Alligator mississippiensis: one gene and its partners. The protein of the gene in region 1 interacts with the protein of each later gene in a pairwise test. Links are inferred from orthologs where the notes say so. Each region holds a gene or a part of one and is shown on either strand. Other genes may lie near its edges.

Region 1 (7,804 bases):
ACTAATTCTAACTCTAGCGAGCCCTCTCCCAATCCCATCCTCATCGCCATGTGCGGGCTGGGTCAGACCCCGGGCCCTTTTCGTCGCTCTGCACGCGAGCTGTGGCCAGCAGCCCGGGCAGGCTGGGTCGGAGAGGGCGGGTGCCAAGCTAGAATTAGGCACAGACATGTAACAGTTGATTTTAAGATTGTTTACTTACACCGAGATGGTCGCGGTGCAGGCTGAGAACTTGCTTGAGTTGCGGTTACAACAGAAAACACGAACACACGTGGAGTTTGCTAGGCTCCACGCAGACAGAACACGAACAATCACGTGGAGTTTGCTAGGCTCCACGCAGACAGAACTCTGGATGTCCAGGACAAGCGTGCATAAAACTCGTTGATACGTCTTATAGTAGGCTCCGTTCGAAGACGGGAAGAGGTGGGCGGTGGATCAGGCCGCCAAACTCCTCTGGGCAACACACAGGGTTTCTATTACCCTGCCGCGTACACCCAGAGTCCCCACAAGATGGATGTGGAGTCCTCTTCGGCTTGGGCGGAAACTGCTCAAGCCTCTTATACGGCTAGCCGCCACGTGTGAATAATTTAGAACTAGCCAATTGCGGGGCACAAATTTGCATACAACAAACGGGAACTCTTTGCACCGTGCATTTCTGTGTTGCAAAGGAAATGCACCCTGCAAAGACTGCTGCAAAGTGGCGGGAACACTCCTTTGCACGCTGGTCCTCTGCGCAGCAGAACTCCTCCGTGCAATGAAGCTGTAAACCCACGGGGATAATTCTTAGTGCCAAAGCACACACAAAAAATCAGACCTTTGGGTCATGACACCATGCTTCAACAAACTCAATTAATCGAATCTGCTCCGATGCACTGTAGTTACAGCACGTATAGGCAGCCCAGGAGTCTATGGTCGGATAGGACATGTCCACACGTGTGTGGACAGGGTTTTTTGGATAACCTTTTTCCCCCAAGATTATCACATTCTTAGTACATAACTTTCAATTTGGTTTGAAAAAGGACACTGGTCTTATAAAATGATGATTTCAAATCAGAAGACAAGGCTTTATTGCTTTTGCATGGTACATTGGTCTGGAATCAATTATCTCCCTTGCATTTTGGACAGTAAATAACATTCCCATGTTGATTCATGCAAAAAAATAAGGACATAAAACAGATCTCAACTTCAGTTGGCACTTATACGCCGATTAGTGATATTAAAGTGTTTTTAGACTTTGGAAAGATAACTAATTAACCATCTGGATTTCACTTATCATATGCTAGTACAAGGTGCATACAAATGTAGTGTATCTGACTTAAAATAATTATAGAGGTTGTGTTCTTTTCAAAGGACCATTTCCCCAAGCTGCTTGGCCTTTGTTTTAGAGGTACATATTCTTTGTGTAATACTGTACCTATGGCCATACTAAAGGAGGTGAGGAAAAGGATATAGCTTTTATTGATTGAAAAAACAAAAACAAAACAAAAGTTTTAGTAACATTTTAACTAAAATTATAGCAATAGCTTTAACTGCTGACAGACATGTGGAACCAGTGGTGACTGAGCCAGGATTATGGGAAAGGTTATTTAAACTTATTTCAACCCAGAATGGAAACTAGCCCTGTCATGTTCACTTGTTTATCTTTGATTTGTATTAAAACATGTGCTTGTGGGCAGTTCTGTCCACTCAGTGTTCACATGAAAAACTGTAAGGTGAAAAGTCCACTTGGATCAGGATGAAACTTTTCATAGAGTTCTATCTACACGATATGCTTACTGAGCATTGGCCTAATAACAGTGCACAGCATGTCATGGCAAAAAACATGCTAATAGCCTGCTACGCAGTGTTATTAAGTTAATGCACAGTAAGCATCACTAAATAACTGTGCGCCAGCGCTAATTCACAGTAACTTTAGGTATTTAGTTAGTCCTTTATTAAGGAAGTAGTAAACTAAATGCACAGTATCTAAGGTTCATTAATGAATGTGTAGACACACCCAGTAGCATCCAACCAGATTCTGAAACCTTTCTCCATGGTGTAATAAGGGCATGAGAAAAAGGAACCTGTCAAATCAGACAGTAACAAATTGAGAATGTCTTTATATTCCTTCCAAATGTGTCAAAAAAGAATCTAGGCTCTCTAGAAACATGTTGCCTTGTAGGAGTGTGTGATGCAGGCCCTATTCAGGGACAGTGATTCGATTCGTTGATTTGGATCACTGTCCCCGATTCGATTCTCCCAAATCTAAATCTGAAGATTTGATGCTGATTCAGAGAATCAGCGATTCAGACATAGACGCAGCTTTAAATAGTTTTTCTACATACCTTGAGGTACCAGCATGGCTCGTGAATGCTTCAATGTTGGGGTGGATGGAGCGGCCCACAGGAGTGTTGGGGAGCCCTCCACATGCTTGGCAGTGAACCCAGAAGTGGACCAGAAGTACTTCTGGTCCACTTCTGGGTCCACCAGGGAGTGCACAGGGCCTTCCCCCCACCCAATGCATTCCCCCCCAGTTCGGCGATTGGCCACAGGGGGACCCTGGGTAGCCCCCCAGACCCAGGAGACACTAGTTGCTGAGCTGGGGGGCATGGAGGGGGCCCCCCCGCATGCTCCCCGGAGGACCCGGAAGTAGACTGGAAGTGCTTCTGGTCCACTTCCGGATCTGCTGCTGAATGTGCTGGGGAGCACCCTGTGCTTTTGTGGGACACTCCATGCACCTCAGCATTGCAGCATTCACAAGCCACCTGCTACCTAGAGATATGTAGAAAAAACATTTAAAGCTGTCTCTATGTCTGGATGTCCACATCTCCGAATCAATTCGGAGGGTTCCAATTTGATTCAGAGAGATTAACGGGTCCTCTGATTTGATTCTGATTCAGAGATTTGGCCACTTAATCTGGCCAAATCTCTGCTGAATCGAATCAGGGACTGAAGCTTCACACAGACTTATTGCTTTGTGCTCCCCCAGTTCCTTTCTGAGATAAGCAAAACTCTCTTCTAAATTCCTAAAGATGATATGCTGATAGGTTGGAGGAAGCACGTGTAAAGAAAAATACTACACTGCACACCTGAGGGGAAGGGACTGTGAAAAAGAGAGGTCAATATTACACTGTGGGCTCAGACTGCTGTAACTGAGAACACTTTGCAGGAAGCAGTTCAGAGAGTTACAACAATGCCCTGGACCAAACAGAAGTTCACTATTTGTTCCAGGGAGGATCTAGCCACTGGCTGGGAGCCTGCAGCCAGTTTCCCCTAGCAACAGCCCCTCTTCTCTCGGCCTGTCTCTGTTTCAGAATGGGAGGGAGGAAAGGGAGCTTGTTCTAGGGGTATAACCTTGGGGGGCTCCAATACACTCACCCCAGCCTCCTGCAGGGGCTGAAAAAACCTCAGACCAAACTGCCTGTACTCCCATTCTGAAGACAGCAACACACACTGTAGACAGACGTTAGGAAAAATGCTGTATTTAGAAATGTCTTCATCTGACCCCTCATCCAATTTTTGAAGTGGTCTGCAGTTCTGAATTTGTGTTTGGTCATGACTATAGACCACTTTCTTTGGCCAGATTGGGTGAAAATTGTCACTTCTGCCTGTGCCCTAAACTAGGCAAGGTTCAAGTGATCATTTTATGAGCCCAATAAAGTATACCCAGACTTTGAAAGCACTCTTGAAAGCATGAGGTAGTGAAACCTGGGTGAGGTTCACGCATTCTGGAATGGATTTTTCAGTCAGGTAAATTGACTTTCTTTTCAAGTTTAATCATTAATGACTGGGAGATATGAATAGGAAGGGGTTGAAAATCAAATGTATTTCACAATTTTTGAAAATGTTCACTTTGAAGTTTTCCAAAAGGAGTGAGGGTTTGGTTTTTTTTTTTTTTAGAAGAAAATTCAATTGTCAGATTTTTTTTTATTTAGTTCCTTTTCTTTTAGACACTGAAAAGGGAGAAGGACAGAATAAGAAACCAGAAAATAATTTAGTTTGATTATGTTTTAAAAAAAAAATCATTTTTGAGAAAAGGATATTTTTTGATGGGGAAGGGGGGAAACAAACCTTTCAACTAGCTGATGAAGCTGTGGTAAAGATAGCAAGGAGCTATTCTTATCCCACATTAAAATTAAGAATGTTTCCCAAAATTAAATTCCCAGTCTGGGAAGGATAGACTTCCCTCCCACTGATGGTGTAAAGAGGCGCAAAGGAGTGTGCCACAGGGCACTAAGGTGCCTGCTCCTTTAAGAGCAGAAACTGCCTAGGGAGAGGGCCCTAGGAGCCAGACAGAAGCCCCACAGGTGCAGGTTACTATGGAGACAGACTAACGGGGGAATTAGCCTGCATCTGTACCCGGTCAGCTGACTGGAAGAAGGCAGGGCCCTGGGCACATATAAGCCCCAGGGTTGAGACTAGTAGGAGTTAGTTCTCTAGCAGCAGCCAAGGAGAAGGAGCCTCTAGGGAAGAATTGCCCAGGGATGCAGTGACTGCCTGATATGCTGCATATGGGGCTCCAGAAGCTCAACAGGTACCCTAGCCTACAAGGCATTTAGTACTGGGGAAAGTTTGACTTCTTAAAGGGATAGAGCATGCCCTGAACTGCTTATCTTATGTTATAGCCCAGGGAGTCATATTTTAGTTGCTGTTTATAAACACCGGTGGATTGGGCTGAGGCTATTGAGGAAGGAGGAGGCCCCACTGGGGGCCCACTATGGTGTAGGAACCCCAGCACCAGAGAAGGGCGCAGCAACAAGGGGGTGAACAGGCCCTGGTGCCAATGTGGGGTGTGGAGACAGGGCTCCAGAGAGCCTGGTGCTAGTGTGGGCAGGGAGACAGGGCTGCAGAGAGCCTGGCAATTACCAGAGACCTAGCTAGTCTAGGGCCTCAGATGTGACCTGGTGTGAATACCAGCTGTGAGGCTTGGGGTGTGGTAAAAGGGTGATTTTGGAGCCATGCATCTAGCCCATAAGGCTGAGGCTGTCCCATGAGGCATCCATTTTGAAGCAGGACCCAAAAGAGGTCTAAGAACCCACAGGGTTCAGTGGGGTCCATCAAGACCGTGTCCCCAACACAAACTAGAAGGCAGCCTCCTGATTTTACTAGTATTACCAGCAAGATGTGGCAGTCCAAAAAGAGGGTGCCCATGGGGCAGAATTGGCATGGTCAAGGAACCCTAGGGATGTCACGGCCATCCTTGGGGACCCCACGCCGTGACAAGAGTTAAAATAGACAGAATAGCTCCAAAAGGAATATAGAAGAGCAGCATCTCTGACACCTTGTCTTCCCCCATTGTGTACCCATAGGAATTTGTCTGAGAAACTCTAATGTTTGGATTCTTTGGCTTTGTTTAGGGGAGCATTGAAACTCTTGGGGGGGGGGGGACAGACTAGAGCAAGCTGCTTTTAGCAGCTGGCTTTCCACAGGAACCAGTGAAAATCTGTACTTTCTGTGCAACTAACTTTCCCTTCCTGCCCCTATGAGAAAAAGGAAGATTGGAGTAGCCAGTGAGCACACAGGACCTTAGCAATCCACATGAGTAGGAAGGAGAAGAGGGCCATGCAGGGTAGTGCAGGACAGCCCTTTTCATGTGGTATTGATAGCTTTCTTTTTTTGGCAAATGCCTCAAACTTGCAGCAGTTGTAACCCCTGTCCTGGGTCACCAATGCAACATCATGGGATCATAGGAATTTGAGGCTGGAAGGGACTTCTTGAAGTCATCTACCTGCAGAATACAGTAGTGAGGAACTTGGGAAATTGCTGGGTTCAATATCTCTTCTCATAAGTTTCCTTACTGTTACTGACCTAAAGTCACCTCTCTGACAGGGGGTGATAATCTCATATTTTTGTGAACTGGGTCCAAAATGACTTGCATCATATACAAAACATTTGCCAGACATAGAGGAAATAATGTTAGTCATAGCACTATGCTTGAAACAAAGGGTTGAAAGGAGCTCTTTTTCCATAAAGGAAAATAAGGAGACTAGTTAGTTTTGTGTTGGTGTTTTTTGTTTTTTTTGTTTTGTTTTCCCCCCTTAGACTAGGGTGGCATAGACCTTTCTGTACAGATACTATTTACTGAATGTTTACAATAGTCTTATAACATTCTAAGACCTCCCAGCCCAGATGCATAATCCAGTTGTCCACACTCACCAGTACTATGATAAAAAAAGCAAAAGCTGTGTTAACCGGCATTCTATTGTTTTACTCCTTTACTGGTAAACAACTAGGATTTTGCCAGGATGCATCCTCCAGAAGATACGATTCATCCCATTGCCCTTGCATGGCACTTCCTCACTAAAATAAAGCTCCTTTTAATCCTTCCTTTTTGCCAAGGTAGAAAACTCCTGATATTTGTAAAATCAGGGTGTGAGAGGAGGCAAACTCCCAGGCCAAATCACAGTGCTGGTCTGCCCACCTGTCTGTTGGCAAGCCACCCACCTTACTCACCTGCCATGCTTTGTTAAATAATCCAGATGTTACTAGGTGGGAGGCTGCCCTTTGAGTGCCCTGCTGCCAAAGGGTGGTTCTCACATGACTGACCTCCTTTTTATTGTGTCTCAACTCGCAGATGTCATCCAGTTTGTTCAATAGATCTGGCTTGCAGCTAGGTCAAGCTCAGACTTAGGCCTCACTCACTCTGCCACCCCCTCTCACTGGGGCATCTGACACTCTGCTCACGCTCACCGAGCTTGTCGCACTGCCTGATCCTGAGTCTCCCCCTCCCTCTCCCTCTCTCCTCCCTTGAACGGCTCCAAGAGGCTTTCGGGCTTCTCCTTGCACTCCTTGAGTAGCCCTGGCTCATCCTTTTGGGTCCCTTCTTTGGCTGTCATCCGAGTGGTAACCACTCGATCAGCCCTACTCCGGGCTGACTGCCCCTAGCCCCTCACTGGGCAATGCATCATTTCTGCCCCCTCCTTGTGGCCAAAACTCTGCCCCTTTTGCTGGGGCTCTGGGGTCTTTCACTCCTGTAGGCTCAGGTTCCTCAACCTAGCATACCTGGTCCACTACTCTGCCCTCTCAATAGGGCCTGAGGTCTTACACCCCTGTAGGCTTGGGGGGCCTCTACCTGGCCCACCATTCCAGGGTCCTACACACCTGTAGGCCTCAGGTGCTTTTGTGTAAGTGTGCCTGGCTTTCCCTGTTCTCACAATAACCCACCAGATGGTGGATGCTGGGGTTAAGGTGCCTCGCCTGCCTTTCACCAGGGAGGTACTGGCCTGGTATTTCTTGAGGGCTCCCTTGCCACAGTGAGTCCCATCAAGCTACCCATCCCCAGCAGGGTACAGTTTCAAGTTGTACCCAGGGCCAGGAGCCTCCTACCATCCCCATAGCTCCTGCCCTTACCTCCAAGATGTTCCAGGAGCAGGGGCTCAGCTGGGTATTGTTGCTCTGGCTGCCAGCAGCAGACTGCTGCCCCAGCCCTGAGAGCAAGGGCCTAAAATGGCTGCCTCATCAAGGCTGGCCTGCACTTTCCTGCTGCCTGCTCCCAACCCTTAAAGTGACAGACACTGAAAAGGTGCTCTGTCACACAGGAATAGTTAGTACATTGAATGCCTGATCCAGTGGGAAGATTCCTATTGATTTCAGTGGTCTTTGGATCATGGCCAAAGACTCAACATTTACTGACCTTCATTTCATGTATGTAATTACCAAAAATATATAGGCAGTAACAAGTACTGTACATTATTGCAGGCTGATAGTCTTGAAAATGGAAGTTGCTTGCTTATCCACAGAACAAGCAGAAGCAGGGAAACGTATCCATTTCCAGTAAATGCCTTTCTAACTTGGAAGAAATGTCCATCAGAATGGTAGGGTGGTCTCA
Region 2 (8,301 bases), on another chromosome or scaffold:
AAAAAGGAGTTCTAGTGGTTGTTATCAGGTTAATATATTGATAGAAATGTTAAAATACAGTCTGATGCAGTTCAGTAACAGTTCTTTGTTATTAAACTTTATTTTAATAGTATAATATATAAATTCTGTGAATATATGCCAAGAGTCATAAACAACTTGTTAAAATTCACAAATGGATGCAAGATAATGTCATTTATTTGTTAAAATTTGAAAAAAAAATGTTATCTATTTGTTCTAACTTTACTAAGGGTTCAGGTCATGCTTTAACTCATGGTGTTTTACATAAAGCGCTGCAAATTAGAGCCCCTTCTGAACAACAGACATTTACCCATTGGGTCAGAGGGATTAAGCCTGCCTGCACTGGCCCTTGGTCAGCCAAAAGGTGCTCTCTAGCAGCCTCCAAGGAGGCTGCTCAACTGCACCTCTCCCCATCCTCATTCTCCCTTCTCAGCTCTAGGGCTGTCAACCAGAAGGGAGGGGGAAAGCAGCATGGAGCTGTTGGTTTGCCTGATCTGAGCTGGGGGGTGGAACAGAGCCCCCATGCCTCATAATCCCCCCACCAAGCTACTCTGGCTGGAGTACTAGGGGGAGCTGGATCACACCCAAGAGACAAGGGAGCTCTGTTTCACCCCCTCCTCCAGCTCAGGTTGGGCACAGCAGTCAGCAGCTACTGCTGCCATTTTCAAAAGGCCTGGCTGGAGCTGGGGAAGGGGGGTGCAGGGGAATGGAGCCCTCTTACCTTGCAGGCCCAGCTTGACTCCCCACCAGTACCCAAGATGGGGGAGGGGGGGGTCAGGGCAGGCTTGTGAGAAGAGATCGCTCTGTACCACACTCCCACCCCTCCTCCAGTTCAGGCCACACAAGCTAGCAGCTCTGTGCTGCTGGCTTCCCCCTCCCTCCTGGCTGACAGCCCTGACCCTGCATGAAAAATTAACCCTCAAGGGAACACGAGTTCTCTAGGGTGCACTAAAGCAGAGCACCTTGATCTAATAACAAACTTGACAAGGGTTAATTTTTCATGCAATCAGCCATTTTAAAAGCACTCTGCAGCTGTCCACATGCGTTAGGTCATGGCAGCAGAGCACTTTCAGGGGCCAGATCATGTGAAAAATGTAACTTCTGTCTGCACCCTAAGTGTAACCATTTAGCAATTCTCAAATAGGGTGCCAGGGAACACTAGGGTCCTGTCAGATCCCTTGTGTGCAGGCCAGGAGCGGTCCGAGGCCCTTTTTTCGCGCGGCGGGCTGTGGCCAGCAGCCCGGACATGCCGGGTCGGGGAAGGCAGGCGGCACGCTAGAATTAGGCACGGACGCTTAGTGGTTGATTTAAGAGTATTTTACTTACACCGAAGATGGTCGCGGTGCAGGCAGGAAAACTTGCTTGAGTTGCCGTTACAAAACAAAACAAAACTCGAACCTGCAGAACACGAGGGTACGTCGCAATGGGGTTTCGGCGACGGGAAGATGAACAAAAACCTCGAGAGTACGTTGCAATGGGGTTTCGGCGACGGGAAGATAGACCTGCAGGACTTGAACCCGGGTAGAGCTCTGGATTCACTCACACAAAGTTTGCTAGGCTCCGTGGAACTTGCATGCAGGGAAGGGTATGTCGAGGGATCAGGCGGCGATGGGGAGAGGCGAGAGGCTAATCAGACCCCTATAGCCTTCTTGAGATACACGCTGGGTCCGATAGGCTCTGCAGCGCTTAGAGATCTTCACGAGATGTGAAGTTCTCCTCCTCCTGATAGTTGTGGAGTCCTCCAACTTGGGCGGAAACCGCTCAAGCCTCTTATACGGCTAGCAAGCCAATCGCTGGCCGCCACATAGGAATAATTTAGAACTGGCCAATAGTGGGACGCAAATTTGAATACGAATGGCGGGAACTCCTTGCACCGTGCATTTCTCTTTTTGCAACTAAGAAATACACCCTGCAAAGAAAGCTACAAGTGGCAGGAAATAATTCAGCAGTACCAAAGCACACACAAACAAAAATCACACCCTTGGGTTGTGACACCTTGAAGGGTGCCAGATATAAGGTTTGAGGATATGTAAGAGGTGATAAGATAAGTAGATAAGTACAGGCTCAATCTTGTCCCTGTCTGACCATCCTCTACCCCACTATCTGGCCCCTCTGTAAGTAGGTCAGCACTGTACTATAAATTAGTTTTTGAAATTGGTTGCCAGTCAATTCACAAAAGTTATGAAGGCGTGCCTTGAGTCCAGTGAAGGGTGCCTCAAGCCCAAAAAAGGTTAAGAACCACTGATTTAGTGTTACAAACTGAGAGGCTTTGCTTAGTACAGGACAAATAGACTATACTGCTGCATTTTGGCAAAGTGGCTGTGTTCGCAATAAGTTTTAGCAAACAGTTACAAAATGTGTTTTTGTTCTTTCTACTTTTGTTTGAGATGAAACAAAGCCCTGCTTTCATCTTTCTGTCCTTAGGCCTATCAGGCAAATAACTATATATTGCCTGCTACTAGGAGTAGTTCCATGCACAGTAATTAATGGGACTATTCCTGGTAATAAGCATTACAGTTTACAGAAGCTGATTATAGAAACAGGATCCTGTTTGTGTCTTGCTTAATCACATTACTTAAATTTGAGAAAGAATAGTTTATTTATCCATAAATTATGAAAAATAAAAGCCCCAATCATTTTGTCTTTCAGCCAACAATACACATTGCAAAGAAGTACTAATTTAATAGAATCAGCTCCAACAGTTGTTAGCATGAATGAGTAGACACAAAGCATTACACATTAGACTTTCAAGACCTTAAACCCTAACTCTGCATGGAGATGCATGTAGGACTTCATTGTGTTCACACAAAATTACACACTGTCCTGAATTATCTTTTTTTTTAGTTCCCAGCAGAAGTACTGATAAATAGTTTATATTTGAAAGAATTCAGTTAAGAAATGTATTTGTATTTACTATGAGTATTAAAACCCCAAAGCAAAAAAGGAATATATGCTTCAATAATAGTTTGTTGATCTTTTGGCTAAAATAAAATCAGTTGCAGAGACTAGATAGTGTAAGTGTAATGTTGTAGCTTGCAATGGTCCAGCAATTATGTGAGTTCTTTTGGAATAGGTTAGGTGAAGATCGTTTTTCAGTTTTTCTAAAGTTCTCCTGCATAGTTGTGTCTTTCTCAGAGGCTATGCATTTACAGGAGGTTGGAACTAACATTAAGCTAACAAATCATTTCCATAATTAATTTATATTCTCTTCAATCTTCTTTAAACTCAATTTAAAAATAAAGGATTACTTGGGCAATTCTTTCTTTCTCAAATCCTAACCAGAATTCAGCTGTTCACCTGAGATTTGTGTGTTAATGTAAAGCTCATATTTCTTATTTTCTAACTGTTCCCCTACTACCTCTGAGATTAACTGTGTCAGTCTGATTTGAAACTTTCATGGCAATCTTCCTGAAAATCCATTTTCTTACCTCTACACCATCATACTGCTCATCAAAGAGTGTGCAGTATTCTGTGAGTCCCAGCTGGGTCAGCCAGTTAGAAATCGATAAATGCTTCATCGTCTGTCACTTCCCTAGTCTCACGATGCTTTGACTGCAGAACAAAAATCAGCTTTTAGATCTCGTGTATAGGCAAATACAACATAGTTGCTTATTCAGTGAAACTAGTTAATGAATGATAGATAACAGTGGAAAACTGACAGCATTGAAGGTAGCACATCAGTAGCAAATGGGCTCCTTTGATTATGTAGTACTATTAATTCTAAAGAAATTCAAATGATCAGGTCATTAATGTAGAGTTACTAGTTAATTATGCATTAATAGGGTCATAGTTTGAGGTTTACAGACAGATTCTCAGCAGGCATAAATTAAGTCAATGGGACCATGACAATTTATGTCAATTGAGAATCTGCCCACAAGTCTGCATTTAGTTCACTATTTCATTTGTAACTCTGATGTTACTGGGTGTGTTAAAGGCTCTGTGTGTTTCATTTAGCCTTCATGGTTTTTAAGAAGATGAATGAACAGAGGCCCACAGTGCTATAGTATCAGCTAAAAATGCTCAGTTCTTATATTCATGGAGAATGTTCTTCAATATCCTCATCCAAAAACCATGCCATATTCCCTCCTTAATGTTTAGTAAATTGAATGATAAAATGTATGGGAGGGAGAGAATAGTGAATGGGACACTGATATGTGAATGAATGTGGAGGAAGTGAATGGGACAGAGTGGCTTATAAGGGACAAAGAGTGAATAGGAATTTGTGGTGTGTGTTTATCAGAGACTCACAGACAAGTCAGTCAGTTAGAGAATATCCTATAATTGGGAAACAACATATAAATTGGGCTCTGTTAGAACACTGGCTGAGCTTGATTTTGAACATTCAATAAATGAAATCTTTCTAAGAACTTTTATATTTGTTGGCTTCTTCCTGTAACTAGGGCTCAGCTTTGGTCCTCAGCTACAAGATGCAAGAGCCCATTTCTTAGTTTATCTGCTGGCTCACAAGCTATGCTATTTTAACCTACCACCCACACTGGATATTAAAGGATGCCACTGGGGGGACAACTATGCTGCACTGCCTGCAGTTCATAGTTGATTTTTTGGTTTTGTGGCTGAAGTGAAAACATCAGAACAGATTTTGTGTTTTGATTTGGTGGCTGAAATTAAAGTTAGTTTGGATAATCCTACCTCTCAGGACTATGTCCTAACCAGTACGGCTGTCAGATATTCTTGAGTGAGTCACTGAGCCTCTTCTATTGGAGTCCTTCCCTTTGTAGAAGTAATTAAATATTAATTGAATCAGAGAAATACTTCATGATTATAGCACTGTCCTGGTAGAATGGATCTCTCAGCTTCAGTCCCTATTCTGGACATAGGTGGAATTTGAATCATGGGCTTCCACATGGAGTGTTCAGCTCTTTCTATTATATCAGGGAGCGTCACTCTCCTCTTCAGTTGTGTGAACAGCACCTAAGTCAGCTTTATCTACTCCAAAAAGATCAAACTAACATATTTCAGTAATGCTAGAGTGAACTGTTTGACAACATTTCCATTTTTTCCAGCCAAAATGCATTTTGGCAAAACAGACTGGCTGACCTGCTCCACCGGGCTTTAAACTAAGCCCACTGGGGGACGGGGGGACTACCGCCACTGCTGGCCCGCTGAGCAATCCTTGCAAAGCCAGCGGGTCAAGACACTTAAGGGAGCCCACCCCTGCCCCAGCCCTGGTAAAATCTGTGGGCAAGGAAGGAGCCCCCCAGGGGACACTTGCCTGCCTGTACACAAATGCCAGGAGCTTGGGGAACAAGCAGGAGGAGCTCATCCTCCTGCTCAATGAAAATAATTATGATGTCATAGGGATAACGGAGACCTGGTGGGACTCCACCCATGACTGGACCATGGGTATAGATGGCTATACCCTGTACAGGAGGGATCATGTAGAGAAAAGGGGCAGGGGTGTAGCTCTCTATGTTAAGGAAAGCTACACGTCCCTGCAAGCCGATATTGGCGACCAGGATGGATGACTGGAGACCCTCTGTGTTAAAATCTGTGGGGAACACGGCACAGGGGACACAATGGTGGGAGTCTACTACAGACCTCCCACCCAAAGTCCTGAGCTTGACCAGGAGTTTGCCCGGGAACTGGCTGAAGCCGCATGCTCCAGGACCATGGTTGTCATGGGTGACTTCAATTACCCAGACATCTCGTGGGAGGATCGCTCAGCAAAATCTGAGTGGTCGCAAAATTTCCTCTTGTGCATGGATGACCTCTACCTGACTCAAGAAGTCTATGGGCCAACAAGAGGCAAAGCGGTGCTCGACCTGGTACTGGCTACTGGGGATGACCTAGTCGGCGACCTAGTGATCGATGGGAAGCTGGGTGACAGTGACCATGAGCTGATCACCTTCACCATCTGCCGAAAAGCTGGCAAGTCAGTCAGCAACACGGAAGTCCTTGACTTCAGGAAAGCCGACTTTGACAAGCTCAGGAGGCTTGTCAGTGAGGCCCTAAGGGACCATGACCACAGGGAGAGGGGAGTTCAAGAAGAGTGGTTGCTCCTCAAGGGAGCGATCCTCAATGCACAAACTAAGTCTATTCCATCTCGGAGGAAAGGCAGCAAGAGGGCACAGCAGCCCCCCTGGCTCTCCAGGGACCTAGCAGACCTCCTGAGGCTAAAAAGAAAGGCCTACAAAGGATGGAGGATGGGAGTCACCTCCAAGGAGGATTATTCTGCACTGGTCCGGTCCTGTAGGGAGCATACCAGGAAAGCCAAGGCTGCAACTGAACTCCAACTAGCTTTGAGCATCAAGGACAATAAAAAGTCCTTTTTCAGATATGTGGGGAGCCGAAGGAAAAGCAGGGGCAACATTGGACCCCTGCTGAACCAGATGGGGCAACTGACAACTGATGCCCAGGAAAAAGCCAACCTATTAAATAGGTACTTTGCATCGGTCTTTCATCAGTCTCATGGCACGCCCATGCCCGCTATGGGACAGGGAAGTCCGGGTGAGGGTGATCCCCTGCCCTCCATTAATGCTGACTTCGTGAAGGAACATCTTGAGAAGCTGGATACTTTCAAGTCAGCTGGCCCTGACAATCTTCACCCCAGGGTACTCAAGGAGCTGGCGAGCATCATAGCCCAGCCTCTAGCACAGATCTTTGAAAACTCTTGGCGCTCTGGTGTAGTGCCCGAAGACTGGAAGAAGGCCAATGTGGTGCCTATCTTCAAGAAAGGGAGGAAAGTGGATCCGGCTAACTATAGGCCCATCAGCCTGACTTCTATCCCGGGGAAGATCTTAGAAAAGTTTATTAAAGAGGCCATCCTTAATGGACTGGCCGATGCCAACATCTTAAGGGATAGCCAGCATGGGTTTGTTGCGGGTAGATCTTGCTTGACCAATCTCATTTCCTTCTATGACCAGGTGACCTATCACCTGGACAAGGGAGAAGAGATTGATGTCATATATCTTGACTTCAAAAAAGCCTTTGATCTGGTTTCCCATGATCACCTCTTGGTGAAATTGGCCAATTGTCGCCTTGGGTCCTCCACGATCCACTGGCTGGAAAACTGGCTCCGGGGTCGGACCCAGAGGGTAGTAATTGATGGAAGTCACTCATCATGGTGTCCTGTGACCAGTGGGGTCCCCCAAGGCTCTGTCCTTGGACCCATACTGTTCAACATCTTCATTAATGATGTGGACACTGGAGTCAGAAGTGGACTGGCCAAGTTCGCCAATGACACCAAACTTTGGGGCAAAGCATCCACATCAGAAGACAGGCGGGTGATCCAGGCTGACCTGGACAGGCTCAGCAAGTGGGTGGACAAGAATCTGATGGTGTTCAACGCCGATAAATGCAAAGTTCTCCACCTTGGGAAGAAAAACTTGCAGCATCCTTATAGGCTTGGCAGTGCTATGTTGGCTGGCACTATGGAAGAAAGAGACTTGGGGGTCATCATTGACCACAAGATGAACACGAGCCTGCAATGCGATGCTGCGGCTAGTAAAGCGACCAAAACACTGGCTTGCATCCATAGATGCTTCTCAAGCAAATCCTGGGATGTCATTCTCCCCTTGTACTCGGCCTTAGTGAGGCCGCAACTGGAGTACTGCGTCCAGTTTTGGGCTCCACAATTCAAAAAGGATGTGGAGAAGCTTGAAAGAGTCCAGAGAAGAGCCGTGCGCATGATCAGAGGTCAGGGAAGCAGACACTACAATGACAGGCTGGGAGCCCTGGGGCTCTTTAGCCTGGAAAAGCGCAGGCTCAGGGGTGATCTGATGGCCACCTACAAGTTTATCAGGGGTGACCACCAGTATCTGGGGGAACGTTTGTTCACCAGAGCGCCCCAAGGGATGACGACTAGGTCGAATGGTCATAAACTACTGCAAGACCGTTTCAGGCTGGACATAAGGAAGAATTTCTTTACTGTCTGAGCCCCCAAGGTCTGGAACAGCCTGCCATCGGAGGTGGTTCAAGCGCCTACATTGAACACCTTCAAGAGCAAACTGGATGCTTATCTTGCTGGGATCCTATGACCCCAGCTGACTTCCTGCCCTTTGGGCAGGGGGCTGGACTCGATGATCTTCCGAGGTCCCTTCCAGCCCTAATGTCTATGAAATCTATTAAACTGTTTGTCAAAAATAAATATTCTACTCAGGAGCACTCTTTCCTCATCAGCATCCAAAATGGCATTCTATCTGGCTCAGCCCTCTGTAGAGAGCCTCCAGTTATTATCACTCCTGTACTGCAACTTGTTGTGTCATCGTCTCAAACTTTAATAAGTCATAATCTAACCCAGTTGTTCTCAAACTTAGCAATAGA
Region 3 (7,930 bases), on another chromosome or scaffold:
AGGTGAACTCTGAGCTGGTAAGTACTTGGGGTGGGAGAGAGGGGGCTGGGGGAGGGGAGAGGGGACCATGCAGGGGACCCCTGCCAGCCCCCAGCCCCTGCCTGCTCCTCCAGCCCCCCTGCCCCACCCGCTCACTCCCCCAGCCCCTCCATGGCTGCCCCGCCCGGCCCAGCTCCCGGCCCTTTAAAGAAAAGCCCCAGGGCTCACCGGTGCTGCCAGGTAGGGGGTGATCCCTGATGCTGTCCACTGCCCCACCCTGTACTGGGGGCTCTGCACGAGCCTCCTGATCCCCCCACACTCCCCCAGTGCCCCCATGGGTGCCCTGCCTGGGCCAGCTTTGGCCCTTTAAGAAAAAAAATGGAGGAAAGCCCCAGGACTCACCACTTCTGCAGCAGCCTCGGGCTTCGTGGGACTTGTGCAGAGCCCCCCATGAAGTGTGGGACAGCGGAGGGCAGTGGGGATCACCCCCCGCCAGCAGGAGTGGTGAGTCCAGGGGTTTTCTTGGGTTTTTTTTTCTTAAAGGGCTGGAGCTGTGGCAGGCAGGGCATCCATGGTGGGCTGGGGGGAGCAGGGGGGGCCAGGGGGCTCACAGCCCCCCATGCAGTGGGGGCAGTGGGGGCAGTGGGAGGCAGTGAGGATTGCCCCCCCCCCCCCCCCCCCGGCAGTGCCTGCTGAGTCAGAGCTTTTTTTTTTCAAGTGCTGGGAGCTGGGGCGGGCTGTGGGGCATGCACCTGGCTGATTCGGAGACTTGGCCAAATTGAATCAGGACAGTGATTTGAATCACCGAATCGAATCACTGTCCCCCAAATCAGCCGAATCCGAAGCAAATACTAGCTGCTTCACACAGGCCTAGTAAATGACGAGTTCTGCAGCTGGACAGTGCACCTTGATGCAGCTGCTTTCAGATTTTCAAGGACAGCTGGAGCTTTTTCAAATTCCTCTCCCTATATTGCTTAAGCTTATTAAGTACTTCTGATACTGAGCGGCTAAAAGGGAGTCCAGTGTTCAGACAGCAACTGCTACAAGCTGAGGGATTAATAGATTTGGAGGTTATAAACCCATTAGTACTGCACTAATTATACGTGATACAGTCTTGCTGGATCTTCAAGAGGTGTTCCATACTTTCAAGGATTGAATCCATATGATTTAAAGCATTTAATCTGGGTGAAGTTCTAAGAAACAACTGAATAAAAATCGCTGTGCTAACAAGTTATAAAATTAATACATGCACTGAAACCATAGACCGACCAATTGTGTCACAGTCCATTTATAAACCTGGATCTCTTGCGTAATTTAACACCTCCTGGTTAAAGAAAAACTTGATATTGCAGGTCTTTTCCAATTCCACATATCCAGATTACCATTTAAACAGCCTGAAGCTAGCAAAGAACCAGAAATAAGCAATGCATGTTTCAAACAAACAGCCTAATATCCCTTTCACTTATGTGAGTTTTAAACATCAGTAGATTTATTTCTGATTTACAACAGTGTAATTGAGAAGATAAATGGACCCAAAATCAGGCATTTCCTCCAGGATTAATAATGCCAATAATGGGCTCTTTTGACCTGGTAGAGAACCGAAGTACCAGGAACCCAATCGTAAATCCTTTAGGCCACAGTGCCTACCAAAAACAGCTTATTTTGGATTTGTGTAGAGTATAGGTGTTGACTTTTATTTTGGCTGAGGGGGACCTAAGATGATGGTCATGTAGAAAGTTTTATGCATTTCAGGTGACAGCCCTCTTCCCGAGGGGGGCCAGGGCCCTCAAGACCCCACGTATTCAGCACCTCTGGTGCAGAGTTTCTTGGAAGAGGATACATTTAGTTGCACAGTTATCACATGAACAATGCATGCCTATCACTGTGTAAGATGTTCCCTTTTTCACAAATGTGAAAAATCCATTTCCCATTGTGGTGGCAGGGGCCATCCTCAGGGTCCAGAAGTGCCAGAGACAGACCCCAACACCCCTGGTGGAGGGCTCAGGGACCCTGGCCCTGCTCAGAACTTACCTGAGAGATGGGACAGGGACAGGAAGGAGCCGCACGAGCTGGTGTTGCACCGGCTTTTCAAGCAGCTGTCAATCAAGCTGGGCAGCTGATGATGTCAGCTGTGACCGCCTCCATGGGAGATTTAAAAACCCTGGCAGAAGCCGGGTGCAGGAAGAGAGGCAGGAGGCGAGACGCCAAGCTCTCTAGAGAGTTGCCTGGCAGAGCTGACTCCCGGAAAACGCTGCCCTGCTGAGAACAGGCAGCAGCAGCAGTTGGGAGCCGGGCGAGGCGTCCACATCTCTAGTCCCAGGGGAAGGGACTCAGAGTCAGCCATCACCTCTGGAGCCCAGGATGGGCATATCCAGCCTGGAGCCGGCCATAGGTCTGGCAGACAGAGACCCAGCCTGGGGGTAGAGCCAGGAGAAGGGAGGCAGCAGTGAAGGGCTGGATGCAGCTACAAGCCAGCAGTTTGAGTAGAGGCTGGGGAGTCTGAGCCAGGAGTTGGCACAGCAGCCCAATGCAGCTGGCGGTTGGTGAGTGGATGGGGTGTAGGGGAGGCAGAGCCCCAGGACTAACTGCGACAAGTCTGTGAGTACTCCCGTCTCCAGGTGATGAAGGAGAACACCACTGAACCTCTCCTTTTAGTTACAAATTCCATCAAGTCGTGGCAGATGAGTTGGGGGCCCAATCCAGGGAGCAGGGGGATACCCACAGCTCCAGCTGAGGTCACCACATGCATACATGCAGTGGAAATTCTAGGTGTATGGCTTTTTCCAACTAAATCTAAGCATAAAGAAGCCACTTAAGTAGAATTTTCAGTGCCATGTAATTTAACATGATTTGGGGAATCTGATATGTCACATCTGGTCATGCAGAATGTTTTTGGCTAGGTTATTTCCTTTGAAATTGTGGGAATCCAGAATCTGTCATGTTAGCCATGTGTCACTACAAATGTATTTTTCCAGTAATTAGATTACAGACCAGCTAGGACCTTCAGTGATCATAAAATCATAGAAAGTTAGGGTTGGAAGGGGCATCAGGAGGTCATCTAGTCCAACCCCTGCTCAAAACACAACCATCCCCAACTATATTATCCCAGTGAATGCTTTGTCTACCTGGGTCTTAAAAACCTCCAAGAATGAAGATTCCACAACCTCCATGGATAGTCTGTTCCAGTGTTTTACTACCCTCCTCATGAGAAAGTTTTTCCTAACATCTAACCTAAACTTTCTTTGCTGCAATTTGAGACTATTGCTCCTTGTTCTGTTACTGACAACACTAAGAGCAGTCTAGCTCCATCCTCTGGATCCCCCCTTCAGGTAGCTGGAGGCTGCTATTAAATCCCCTCTCGGTCTTCTCTTCTCTAAATAAGCCCAGTTCCCTCAGCCTCTCCTCATAAGTCATGTACCCCAGAGCCCTAAGCCATTTTCATTGTCCTCCCTTGGACTTTCTCCAGTTTGTCCACATCCTTTTTGTGTGTGTAGGGGGAGTTGAGAGGGGAGTGAGAAAGAAAGCAAAACAGCACACAGTACTCCAGATGTGGCCTCACTGGTGCTGAACAGAGGGGAATAATCACTTCCCTTGATCTTCTGGCAATACTCCTACCAATGCAGCCCAGTATACTATTAGCCTTCTTGGGAACAAGGACACACTGTTGGCTCATATTCAGCTTACAGTATTGTCCATTGTAACCTAGGCCTGTTTCTGCAGAGCTGCTGCCTAGCCAGTCAGTCCCTAATCAAACCTGAATCTCTCCTATACTATCTAAATTTTCAGATGAATACAATTTATATTTTGCCATAAAATCTTGGGCATATAGAGTAACTATCATGCCATAATAATCTTCTAAATATACTAACATCTCAAATTAGTATCACATTAGGTTATTAAAGACTCAAAACTTATTTTTCTAAAATCTTTGCATTTAGGCCCCAATCCTACAAAAAAAATTGTGTTTAACCTTACACACTGCAAGTAATCCTATTGAAGCTATTGCCATGCCTTCACTGCAAAAAAGTGTTTTTGTAGATAGTTATCTTAATACAGAATCTTATTAGGGACAAATCACTGTAGTTTCTGTCTTGATGTAGATGAATAAATTAACTCAAGTGGAGAGTATATAGTTGCCCTCAACTAAAAATACCAAGGTAAAAACTACCCATTACTTTACATCAGAATAGTTTTTTTGAGTGTAAAAACCTACTTTTTCTGAAGACAAAAGTCAATTAGGCAAAATTAAGTATCTACATAAATCTTTGCAGTATCAGAGTCTATCTTAATTGTATGAAGTATAATAGGAAGTTAAACTTCTTAAATCCATATGTGACTGTTACTACAGTTTCAGCATTTTTGACTTGAGAAAAAAAAGCTACATGGCATCAGAAACCAGCCTACCTGTGTCTATCCTCTAGGAGCAAGCCCCAAATAGGAATAAGCTGTACATCAAGCTGTCACACACTTTCTTGCACAACCCCTCTCTCTCTCCCTGGGGCTATTTTTAGTTTTCCTGGATGAAAATTGTTTCTACAGGGCACTCACATGCACAGGGGACTCGCACACACATGCTAGAAAAACACCAAGCACAAACAGAAAAGGTACGCAATTTCTCTTGCCTCATGGCAGAGAAGGATTTCTGGTTTCTCGTAACAAAATGACCACAGGAAGTCATTCAAGATGGTGTATAAATTATTCTACATCATGAGCCTTCATCATTTTCAAATTTGACGGGTATTTGCTGCAAAGAGAAAGAACTGTTTGCTGAGCTGCCTGTTAAACAACTTCTTCTTTCGGGTAGTTTCCTTCCAGGTTGCACGATCTTCCTGTTTTTTTTCTTTCTTTGTTAATCTGTTTCAATTTGATTTCCATGCCGTCGGCTGTAAATGTTGCAGTGGCTCAACAGACTGAGGCTGGGTCAGCTCCTGATGCTACCGTTAATACAACCACTGAAGCAGGTGGAGGTGCAGGGGGGATCTACTCTGCTATTATCAGTCGAAACCAGCCCATTATTAAGGTACAGGAAAAAGCCTATGCAGAACTCCACAAGAAATGCCTGGAAAAGAAGATTCTGTATGAGGATCCCGATTTTCCACCTAATGACAGCTCCCTCTTCTACAGCCAGAAGCTCCCCATCAAGTTTGAGTGGAAAAGACCTCGAGTGAGTAACTTATCTACATAAACTTATAAATATAATGAATTCACTTACCCATGTAGGAAATGTATTTTTACTTGTTTTCCCAGCCTGGAAAATTACCTTCTAGGGATGGGGAAGTGCTGAGAGAGAGAAAGAAAAGTAGAGAAAGAGTATAAAAAATTAACTGAACATCAACAAGAGATTGGAATGAAGTTCTTTAGTCTTCTCTTAATGCATTTTAACTGGCTTTTACTTGTCTTGATTTGTTTGGAATTTCCTCATCTGAAGATACCAGTCAAAACAAGTTCTAACTCCTCCTCTTTCTCTAGCATAGGCAAGTGGGCTTATGAAGATTTATTTTTTCCACTTCTATTTTATTGATGACATTCTTAATTTTACTTTATTACATATAGCCACTTGGCTGCACTTATTCCTTTTTGGAAGTGCTAAGGTAGAACGAGGTATAGATAAATGCTGATCTACTGTTTTTATGTACTGTGAAAATAAGGGAACAAGCTTTACTCTAAGTTAGGGCCAGTGGATCCAGCAGATCCAGTGAAGTTGTCACTGGATCTAACAGAGCAGAATTGGGACCCTATTACTTAATTTTTTTGTCATCATTTATTTCAAGCAACAGTTATTTCAAATGCAAAGTTTGTTATCCTATTATTTGCCTGCCATGAATTAGGGGGTGGTATTAATAATTATTGCCATAAAAATATATTACATTTCTCCTCAGAGTGAAAAGTGACCCTTCAAAATGAAGGGCAGGAAAAAAAGATGATGTCATGTGATGTACAGGGGTAACCCAGACATTCTGGGATAAATGCAGTATGGATTTATATCTCAAGCAATTTATCAGAATTTAATGGTCAGAGACTGCAGCAAAACCAGTCTTGACATATAAGATAATTCAATCAAAACTAAGGCATGGATAGACATACAATTAACTCTATTTTAGAGGGACAGGGATGGCTTACAACCTCTGAGTATGTGTCTGCTGAGCCAATTCAAATGTTTTATCTGTCTGCTGTTCACTTGTGATAAATTAAGTTAATTGCAGTAATTTACTACTGATTGAATCAGATTTATTACTGAGGCTCAGCCTCACTTACTGTAGTTGTCTATGACAGGGGGGTTCAACCACCAGTTCAATGGCCAGATCCAGCCTACAAGGCCATGTCGGCCAGCCCATGGGTCTCCCCACAAGGTTGGTAATTTAGCAGCATGGGGAGCAGTGGCAACGTTAATTGTCCCAACCATGGGAAATATCCACCCCATGGATCAGCCTCAGGCCACTCATCCAGCCCAAGGATTAAGCACTACTGGTCTATGGCACAAAGAAAGCAGTTACATCAGGTTCAGCTGCCATGCAGTTCCCTCCTTTTTAAAGCAATTTTGTTCCCACTGCAAGAGGAAGAATTTACTTTGGCATGAGTTGAAAACATTTCAGATAATGTCTGACATGTCCACTGCACAGGATTTCTATACATACACATACTGCATTTGAAAAGGTCCTACTGACATGTCTGACAACTGATGTGCTTTCCTACCTTCCTTTTGGAGGCTGAGGCAGCAACATAGTGGATGAATGTCAGAGAAAAAAGTGACTGGAGATATACACAAATGCCAGTAGTAATATGGGAAAAGGTACCCACTCTACACAGATATAAATGACTGCAGAAGGTAGAAGGCACCGATACATCAAGCCTTTGGTATCTGGGCAAAATCAGACTTCTGGAACCCGATCCCCAAGATCATTCTTTGATGATCCACCTTTAAGAAGTCATCAGTGATGCAATTTCAAAAGGTGTATAATAATTGGGTTAGCACAAACGAAGCATTCAGGAGCCATAAGACTCAAAAGGGAGGCGGTAGTCATAGGAGACCTAAACTACCCAGACATCTGCTGGGAGACGCAGACAGCAAAGTCCCGCCAGTCACGCAGGTTCCTATCCTGTGTACAGGACCTCCATCTGACGCAGGAGGTACATGGGCCCACTAGGGGGAATGCCTTACTGGATCTGGTATTGGCAATGGGGGATGACATGGTAGGAGACCTACAGATCGGTGGTCACCTGGGGGACAGTGATCACCAAATAATAGAATTCACCATAAGACGTCGAGTGGGTAAGGTAACTAGTAGGATGGAAGTGCTAGATTTTAGGAAAGCTGATTTCAATGAACTCAGGCGTTTAGTCAAGGACGCACTGCAGAGGAAGAGTTTTAAAGAGATGGGAGCCCAGGAAGGGTGGCTGTGCCTTAAGGAAATGATCCTTCAGGCACAGAGGGAGATGATCCCGATGCAGGGGAAAAGGGGGAAAGGGGCCAAGAGGCTTCCTTGGCTGACCAGAGAAATCCAGAGCAGTCTACGGGCTAAAAGGGGGGCATATAAAAAGTGGAAACAGGGAGAGATTACTAAAGAGGAGTATACCTCCTCTGCTCACGCTTGTAGGGAGGCAGTTAGACAGGCCAAAGCTACCATGGAGCTGAGGATGGCATCCCAAGTTAAGGATAACAAAAAATTGTTCTTTAGCTATATAGGGAGTAAAAGGAAGGCCCAGGGTGGAATAGGACCTCTACTAAATGGGCAGAAGCAATTGGTGACGGACAGGGGGGACAAGGCTGAACTCCTCAACGAGTTCTTTGCCTCAGTGTTCCTAAGCGAGGGGCAAGACAAGTCTCTCACTGGGATTGTAGAGAGGCAGCAGCAGGGCGCCAGACTACCAAGTGTAGACCCGGAGATGGTGCAGAGGCACTTGGAGGAACTGGATCCATTTAAGTCGGCAGGCCTGGATAAGCTCCATCCAA

The links.
Region 2: the proteins of OSGIN1 (region 1) and BCAR3 interact in binary tests that used the Homo sapiens proteins (3 or more experiments, as listed by UniProt). The link is inferred for Alligator mississippiensis from reciprocal best matches to the Homo sapiens genes OSGIN1 and BCAR3.
Region 3: the proteins of OSGIN1 (region 1) and CAPN3 interact in binary tests that used the Homo sapiens proteins (3 or more experiments, as listed by UniProt). The two-hybrid records come from large-scale screens. The link is inferred for Alligator mississippiensis from reciprocal best matches to the Homo sapiens genes OSGIN1 and CAPN3.

What each region holds. Positions count from the first base shown.
Region 1 is NC_081833.1:43,816,081-43,823,884, reverse strand, and holds the start of OSGIN1 (oxidative stress-induced growth inhibitor 1), read left to right. Parts: upstream 1-4,397; 5' UTR 4,398-4,510; intron 4,511-7,326; exon of another isoform or gene 7,327-7,461; intron 7,462-7,804. UniProt on the Homo sapiens protein: Monooxygenase catalytic activity. Involved in regulation of cytokinesis; promotes RHOA activity, probably acting locally at the midbody in late cytokinesis.
Region 2 is NC_081828.1:33,800,932-33,809,232, forward strand, and holds the start of BCAR3 (breast cancer anti-estrogen resistance protein 3), read right to left. Parts: upstream 3,568-8,301; 5' UTR 3,537-3,567; coding exon 3,447-3,536; intron 1-3,446. UniProt on the Homo sapiens protein: Acts as an adapter protein downstream of several growth factor receptors to promote cell proliferation, migration, and redistribution of actin fibers.
Region 3 is NC_081825.1:237,677,790-237,685,719, reverse strand, and holds the start of CAPN3 (calpain-3), read left to right. Parts: upstream 1-4,452; 5' UTR 4,453-4,852; coding exon 4,853-5,143; intron 5,144-7,930. UniProt on the Homo sapiens protein: Calcium-regulated non-lysosomal thiol-protease. Proteolytically cleaves CTBP1 at 'His-409'. Mediates, with UTP25, the proteasome-independent degradation of p53/TP53.